Linked DNA regions of Drosophila melanogaster. The protein of the gene in region 1 purifies or fractionates together with the protein of each later gene. This does not show direct contact. Each region holds a gene or a part of one and is shown in the gene's direction. Other genes may lie near its edges.

Evidence for each region. Proteins that work in one complex are often made in the same cells at the same time.
Region 2: the proteins of Mcm2 (region 1) and Sld5 purify together in Drosophila melanogaster (affinity purification with western blotting; 2 studies listed by BioGRID, with this or other methods). This does not show direct contact.

What each region holds. Positions count from the first base shown.
Region 1 is NT_033777.3:8,263,189-8,268,434, forward strand, and holds Mcm2 (minichromosome maintenance 2), read left to right. Parts: upstream 1-1,781; 5' UTR 1,782-1,912; coding exon 1,913-4,051; intron 4,052-4,108; coding exon 4,109-4,633; 3' UTR 4,634-4,736; downstream 4,737-5,246. Other genes in the region: RPA1 (replication protein A1), read right to left, coding at 1-783, 841-1,085, 1,147-1,182; CG9630 (uncharacterized protein), read right to left, coding at 4,813-5,246. UniProt on the Drosophila melanogaster protein: Acts as a component of the MCM2-7 complex (MCM complex) which is the replicative helicase essential for 'once per cell cycle' DNA replication initiation and elongation in eukaryotic cells.
Region 2 is NT_033777.3:26,055,138-26,058,506, reverse strand, and holds Sld5 (Sld5), read left to right. Parts: upstream 1-1,959; 5' UTR 1,960-2,015; coding exon 2,016-2,126; intron 2,127-2,186; coding exon 2,187-2,640; intron 2,641-2,698; coding exon 2,699-2,820; 3' UTR 2,821-2,850; downstream 2,851-3,369. Other genes in the region: RpL34a (ribosomal protein L34a), read left to right, coding at 1-13; Tcs6 (Threonyl-carbamoyl synthesis 6), read left to right, coding at 320-354, 418-718; PIG-P (phosphatidylinositol glycan anchor biosynthesis class P), read left to right, coding at 684-1,160; CG14543 (uncharacterized protein), read right to left, coding at 1,199-1,660, 1,725-1,850; Cmpk (Cytidine/uridine monophosphate kinase 1), read left to right, coding at 3,171-3,369.

The sequences.
Region 1 (5,246 bases):
TGACCGTCAAAGTTAACGGCATCATCCCCCCAAAGGGTCAAGCTGATGGCCGAGTTACTCATGTCCACTAGGGTTATGTCCCGTTTCTTGAATTCCTTGTTTGTGGTGCGAGCTACGAATGATTGCAACTCGCCCACCTCCTTGCAAATTCCTATTGTGTCTACCGCTGCTTTATTTTCCATACCCGACACATCGGAAATAGGAACAAGGTTGTACTTAATTTCCGGTATGGGATCATCGTCGGTATCCTCACAAAGCTGGACAACTGTTTCACCGGAAAAAGTCATCTCGTAGGCGTTGTTCAGCGAAGAGTACTGCTTGTTTGCCGGTTTCAATTGACACTTTGATATATAGTACACGCTATCCACTTGAATGAGGTCGTAGAACTTATCGCACTGTTCCTTGAAGGCAGTGGCCCGAATTTCGCCCGATTCGTCCATTAAATCCATGCTGAACAACTTGCCCTCGCCGCGGGCATTGCTCCAGGTGCGAATGCCGGATTTTGAGGTCACGCGAGCCTTAATCACCCACTTATTTTGGTAGGGACTTAGGCTAGAAATGGGATGTGTCATTCCACTATTAATAGAGGAATTCATTACTATGTTATTATTGTTGTTGTGGCTCGGTTCCTTTTTGGCAATTGGCTTGGAATTAGATGTTACTGCTGGCTTAGGCGCCAGATCCTGCTTGGCTGCATTTTCATACGTAACGGGTTCGCCAATTTTGGACTTAACCTCGGCGCCAGGATTCACCACAGTTAGTTCGGAAATGATGAGAACGCGTCTAAAAGGAAAACATATGTTACTATACTGTCGAAAGTCTGTTTTACAGCGTACTTACTTTCCGGCTCCGTCCTTGCCTACCAGTGAGGTCACATATTTATCTAGCTGGACAATGGTGAACTCCTCTAATTCTCCATTGTGCTGCATCACGTTCAGCTGACTGGCCAGCATCGCATAGCTGTTAAAGTACTTGCCGTCGGAGATTAGGATGCGATAGCGCTCTGAGTCCGCTGCGCTGTTAATCTTCTTGATTGCCAGGATCTGGAGAACCGGGGCATCCACAACCTCGCCATGCATAATGCGCTGTGGCCGGTAGTACGATGTGTTACTATACCAATCCATTATTTTAAGCTGGCATACTTACAGCAATCACACCAGTGGACAAAGATGCCAGGACCATTTTGATTATAAAAATAAGTTGGGCAATTTCACAAGCAAATATAATTCATGCGTCGAGGGCTGGGTACAAAGTGAAGCTAGAAGAGGCGGGAAGGGCTTCTGTGTAATTTTGAATCAGTTGTTGCGGAACTAGTTCAATTTGCTTTCCAGTTAGAGCTGTATTTCAGGGCAGTAAAGTTTTGGTTGCTTAAGAGAAAACATTTATTTTACTTTATTATTACTATTTCCTACAGCAACATATTGAGAATAATTGTCTATTATTTTGACACATAGCTTTAAGCTTGACTTACATTGTTTGTGTTAATGCTCACAACTAGTTATTGTAAGCATTTCTATTTCAATGGAATTATAAATATTTAATAACTGTGTGATATTTTATTGACACATTCTTTGTATTAAAGCCTACATTCAGTGCCTTGTAAACTTTTTAAATTGAATGGTGTAATATATATATTTAAAATTTTTTGTAAGCTCTTTAAACTCGGTGATATTTTATTGACACAAGGAAAGTTGTTACAGTCGGGTGTTCTTATAAACATGTATGCAGAAGCGGGTGTCCACTGTATGACCCAGACGTTAACAGCACTGCTTATCGGAACTAGACCGCAGCCCTGAGTTGGCTCGATTAGCAAACATTTTCCCGCGCATTTTCGCACGCGTCGTCACAACAAGATCGGCGGTACAAAACAAAACATATTACAGATAAACGCTAAGCACAACAGACGCACGTAATGGACAATCCCAGTTCACCACCGCCAAATACGCCCAGCGATGCCGCCGAACGCCGCGATCTGCGGGCAGCAATGACGTCGCCGGTTGGCGACTTTGAGCCGTTCGAGAACGAGGACGAGATCCTGGGAGATCAGACCGTTCGCGATGAGGCCGAGGAGGAGGATGGCGAGGAGCTGTTCGGGGACAACATGGAGAACGATTACCGGCCCATGCCTGAGCTGGATCACTACGATCCGGCGCTGCTGGACGACGAGGATGACTTCTCGGAGATGTCCCAGGGCGATCGCTTTGCCGCCGAGTCGGAGATGCGTCGACGCGACCGGGCCGCCGGAATCCACCGCGACGATCGTGATCTGGGTTTCGGTCAGTCCGATGATGAGGACGACGTTGGACCCCGGGCCAAGAGACGAGCTGGCGAGAAGGCAGCTGTTGGCGAGGTAGAGGACACCGAGATGGTGGAGTCTATTGAAAACCTGGAGGATACCAAGGGACACTCAACTAAAGAGTGGGTCAGTATGCTAGGACCACGCACGGAAATCGCCAATCGCTTTCAATCCTTTTTGAGAACTTTTGTGGATGAAAGGGGCGCATACACCTATCGTGATCGCATACGTCGGATGTGCGAGCAGAACATGTCTTCGTTCGTCGTCTCCTACACTGATCTGGCCAACAAGGAACACGTATTGGCCTATTTCCTGCCCGAGGCTCCCTTTCAAATGCTCGAGATTTTCGATAAAGTGGCTAAGGACATGGTGCTCTCCATTTTCCCCACTTACGAACGTGTCACCACAGAGATTCACGTGCGCATCTCGGAGCTGCCGCTGATCGAGGAGCTGCGCACATTCAGAAAACTGCATCTGAACCAGTTGGTTCGCACTTTGGGCGTGGTAACTGCCACCACCGGAGTTCTTCCCCAGCTATCCGTGATCAAGTACGACTGCGTTAAGTGCGGCTATGTGCTGGGTCCCTTCGTTCAGTCGCAAAATACGGAGATAAAGCCCGGTTCCTGCCCAGAGTGCCAGAGCACTGGACCCTTCTCAATCAACATGGAGCAGACGTTGTATCGAAATTATCAAAAGATCACGTTGCAGGAGTCGCCAGGCAGGATTCCAGCCGGACGCATTCCTCGCAGCAAGGATGTCATTTTGCTCGCTGATTTGTGTGATCAATGCAAGCCTGGAGATGAACTTGAGGTCACAGGTATATATACCAATAACTACGATGGCTCCTTGAACACCGACCAAGGATTTCCCGTGTTTGCCACCGTGATTATTGCCAATCATGTGGTTGTAAAGGACTCCAAGCAGGTAGTGCAGTCGCTTACGGACGAGGACATTGCCACCATTCAGAAGTTGAGCAAGGATCCGCGTATCGTAGAGCGTGTAGTAGCATCCATGGCGCCTTCTATATACGGACATGATTATATCAAGAGGGCGCTGGCCTTAGCTCTCTTTGGGGGTGAGTCAAAGAATCCCGGTGAGAAACACAAGGTTAGAGGTGATATAAACCTACTCATCTGTGGAGATCCCGGAACGGCAAAGTCGCAGTTCCTCAAGTACACCGAAAAGGTTGCGCCACGTGCGGTTTTCACGACTGGGCAGGGAGCCAGTGCCGTGGGTCTCACGGCTTATGTGCGCCGCAATCCAGTATCTCGGGAGTGGACATTGGAAGCGGGTGCTCTGGTTCTGGCTGATCAGGGAGTTTGTCTAATCGACGAGTTCGACAAAATGAACGACCAGGATCGTACCTCTATTCACGAAGCCATGGAGCAGCAGTCTATTTCGATTTCCAAGGCTGGTATTGTCACCTCTCTTCAAGCTCGTTGCACCGTGATTGCTGCTGCCAATCCCATTGGCGGTCGCTATGATCCGTCGATGACCTTCTCGGAGAACGTGAATCTCTCGGAGCCCATCCTGTCCCGTTTCGATGTGCTGTGCGTGGTGAAGGACGAATTTGACCCCATGCAGGATCAGCAGCTCGCCAAATTCGTGGTACACTCGCATATGAAGCATCACCCGAGTGAGGAGGAGCAGCCGGAGTTGGAGGAACCACAGCTGAAGACCGTTGATGAGATCCCGCAGGACTTGTTGCGACAATACATTGTATACGCTAAGGAGAACATTCGGCCCAAGCTAACGGTAAGCGAACTTATTGAAATCACAGGAAAAGTGTAACAACATTTCCGTTTCATACAGAACATCGACGAGGACAAGATCGCCAAGATGTACGCCCAGCTGCGACAGGAGTCTTTTGCCACGGGCTCACTGCCCATTACGGTGCGTCACATTGAGAGTGTCATCCGAATGTCCGAAGCGCACGCGCGGATGCATCTGCGCGAAAACGTAATGGAGGCAGATGTCAGCATGGCCATCCGCATGATGTTGGAGAGCTTTATCGAGGCGCAGAAGTTCAGCGTTATGAAGAAGATGCGCAGCACATTCCAGAAGTACCTGTCCTTCCAAAAGGACCATTCCGAGCTGCTGTTCTTTATTCTGCGACAGCTGACGCTCGACCAGCTCGCCTACATTCGCTGCAAGGACGGGCCTGGCGCCACACATGTGGAGATTATGGAGCGGGATTTGATCGAACGGGCTAAGCAGCTGGATATTGTAAACCTGAAGCCGTTCTACGAATCAGATCTGTTTCGCACAAATGGCTTCTCTTACGATCCCAAGCGACGCATCATCCTTCAAATTGTGGTCGACGGCAACACAGCTTAAGTTTCAGCCATTTACTTCATCTCATTTAGTTATAGTATTCATGTTTTGTTACCCCCATTTTCGGTCTAATAAAGTTTGATATACTTATGTATGTATTTATACTAAAATAGGTATTTGAATTGAAATTTATACTTCCGTAAATATTTTTTATTGTGCATACAAATCAGCCCCAGAGTATGTCAATCGTTGTTCCCTTCGATGCCCATGGCTTTGTCGAAATCTTCCTCGCTAATCTTGTTCTTTTTCAGCCGCTTGAAGAGCCGAATATCGCTGGCCAGTTCATCGAGGTCCTCCTGGCTGAACTGCTGCCTCTTTTTTCCCTTCCCGGACCTGCTCGCCTCCGCCTCTGCCGCTTTCTTTCGCTGCTTCTTCGCCTTGCGCAGCTCCTTCTTAGACTTGGCATCCAGTTTTGCCTTCTTTGTCTGATCCCAGGACTCAACACGCTTTTTGTGCTGCTTTTGGCCCGGCCAGCTTCCCGTTTGCTCGTAAGTTTCCATTTTCTTTTGCCGGACTTGTTCTTTCTGGGCGTTTTTGTAGGTAAGTTTGGATAAATCCACTTCAAAAGCAGGCGCCACATAGCCGCCGCCCTGGTAGTTCTTTAGCTCCGGCATGC
Region 2 (3,369 bases), about 18 Mb from region 1:
GTCCAAGAAGTAACCATTTACCAGAAGGATTTGTTTGGAGCAATGATATTGAACACCTTTTTTTTGTAATAAAGAAACCACAAATTGAAGAAATTAACGTTTTAATTGACAGCTTATTTCCCATTGTTATTAACTTCAAAAACTTAACAAGCGCTTAATTTAAAACATAAATGTGATTATGAAGAATGCTCATTTTTAAACATTTGAATTCTTCAATCAGCTGTTCACGAGATAAACAGCCGGTGAATGCTTCTTCTTCATAAATTGTCATTAACTTTCTCCGTTGACATGTGAGCATTTCAGATTGGTTAAAACTTTTATGATGCCACAAATTGCAAATAAACCAAATGAATCGTAAGTTTAACCATTTAACAAAGAAATAAACATAAATTTAGTAATAAATATTCGCCTCATTAGCATAATAAGAGTGCCGTTTGAGACGCCACGATTGGCCGAGATCGCCTACAAAGTCCTCGGTGTCGACCAGGAGCCGCGCCGGAATTTCGTGAAAAAAACTTTGAGCCTGGAGAACGATGTTCTGGTTGTGCACTTTCAGTCGGATCAAGTGAAGAGCCTGCGCACTGCCATCACCTCCTTCTTTGAGTGCCTGCTCCTGTGCCAGGACACCATCAACCAGTTCGGAGACTCCAAGAAAGAGAAACTAATCCCCGAGAGCAACGACAATGCCGGAACACACTCCAGCTCCGACTCCCCATAGGGCGGTCTATGGTTTCGCCTTCTATATGCTGTTCACGGTCCTCTTCCTCGTATACGTGACTTGGGCGCTGCTGCCAGTGGAGTTTGGTCTGCACTCGTATCTGCCGGACAAGTATTTTGCCGTATTTGTGCCTTTTCTGGTGCTGGTCTTCGCCTGGTTCTTTGCCTTCCTCATCTATCCTGCCATAAATCTATCGATGACAGTGGATGTTGATTCCATTGCCTCGGTGGTGGATCCAAAGCTGGCACTGCCCAAGGGGACAGAGTTCACCTCCTGGTCGCAGTTGCAAAAAGGCAAGGTCAGCCAGGATTCCGCATCAAAGAAGGCCTCTCCAGTGAACTGCAACCTGTGCAGGACTTTCCACCAACCTGTGACACGTGCACCTATTCCACCACTGCGTTTTCTGGACCTCCAGGAAGTAAATACAGCGTATTATAACTAAAAAACTAGCAGGTTTCTTTTTAATCATCCCGACGAAATTCATTTTCTTCGCACGGTGGTCCAGCCGTCTTCCGGTTCCACAAACTCCTCAGCCTGCTGCTTTCGTGCCTGCGATCGCGTCATCCGACCACTGCCGCTGGGAGTTTCCTCGTCGCCCTGGCCCATTTCATTATCGTCCTCCTCGTCGCTGTCGTCCATGTCCTCATCGGATGAGGAGTCCCCATCGATGGGTGTGTAGGTGATCTTAACATCCGGACGCAGCCACTCCTTGCCAGCAGGAAGTTTACTCAATTCAGCCTCTATTTGCGGAAACTGGTTCTGCTGGGCCATCAATTTGTAGCGCAGCAGATTCCGGCAGATCTCCGGAATGGAGTCGTCGTCGCAGAGGGTGTTAAACTCCTGGTCCATCAGCTCCTCCAGGACCTCCACCAGTTCGCCTTGCGTGATATTTTCGTTGGACACGCAGTACTGGTAGGTGTAGTCCATGATTTCTATGGCCACCTACAAAACGGACACTCCGATTAGGTTAGAAAAGAAGACGGTTTCAGGGTATACGAGCAACAACCTGTTGGCCATTGCGTCCGCCCATGCCATGCTCCACCGCCAGCCGGAGATCCTGCCAGTGATTGAAGATCTTCTCTACAATCACTCTAAAATTCTTTTGGAATTCAGTTTGTTGTGCGGCTGCCATCGCATGCTTTTGTGATATCGATAACGGTTAGACGTGCCATTCACACGGAGTAAAAACAAATGAAACAGTGATGAAAAACGTCAACTGTATTACTGGAGTGACATTCCCAACGATTCCCAAAATTTGCGCCAAAATCTGCAAAATAATAAACAAATAAATAAAACCATGTCGGATGTAGAAGACGTGCCCGAAACCCAGTTAGAAATCGATGTCAGCGATGGCGCCGGACTGGAGGATGAGGATGATGACGATATGGAACAGATTACAGCTCAGAAGGTAAGGTAAATCGTAACACAGCTTTTTAATACGCAAGTAATCACATTCTGATATCCCTAGGTTCTGGAAATCATAGAAACCGCGTGGATAAATGAAATGTGTGCGCCGGAGATCCTGCCCAGCCAGACGGACATGCTGGAGCTGATGGTCTCCCAGGTGGCCCACATGGAGGAGCAGATGCGCGATCTGGACAAGAACGATTTCCGAGCGGTGGTGCACTCCATGGAACTGGAGAGGGTGCGCTACATAATGGCCAGTTATCTGCGTTGCCGCCTGCAGAAGATCGAAACCTTCACGCAGCACATCCTCAACCAGGAGGAGAGCCGTGAGCCGGATGACAAACGTCTGTCTCCCGAGGAGACTAAGTTCGCCCAGGAGTTTGCCAGTAATGTGGATGAGTACTTCCACAAAGTAGCCACCCAGTACATGCCCAACCAGCAGAGAGGAGAGGCGGAGCAGAGGATTGTGACGCCCAATCTGATGAGCCATGTCTTTCTTAAGGCAAATGTGGCAGGTAATAACCTTTTGTCATCTAATTAAGATAACCGCTTAACTCTTGTTTTGCTTTCCAGTGCCCGCTGTGATCGTGGGCGTCGATGATGAGGAGGTGGACATGGCGGCCGGCTCCCAGCATATTATTCCCTACCAACTAGTGGCCGACTTGATACAAAACAACCAAGCGCAGCTAATTTAAAAGACTTATTTAGCAGGTAATATACATGATAATAAAAAAAATTAAAAATCAAACTCTGCAAAGCTGCATGTTTAAGGGTACATTTAAAAATGTTGTAGAAGAATATTTAAATTAAATTTAATTTATTTAATATCGAACCGGAAGTAAACTGCATAAAATGCCATTCAAATTGGTTCGCTTCCCGCTAAAGCCGGCGCCAGTGTTGCCGAACGGACGCCCGCGAACAGCTGCGCTTGTGCGTGACGTCACAGGGTGTTACGTTTCCAGTGGAAAACAGTGGTGAGGTGTACTGCAGGCGGCATACACATAAACCACGCATTCAATTTGCCTTCAGTTTGGTTCAGTCGTCAATGTGGCGGGCTTTGGCACGAACGACGTTGAGAGCAGTAGCCAACGATTGCGGTTCACCAGGAGTCGGTCTCGCACCATCAGCGCTGACGCAGCACCAATTGCGACATTCCAAGGCCAGCAATAGGTTCATCACCACCACCTCCACAGCCCCACCACACAATATCGGAATCATGAGCGTAGAGAAGCCAAAGATTGTCT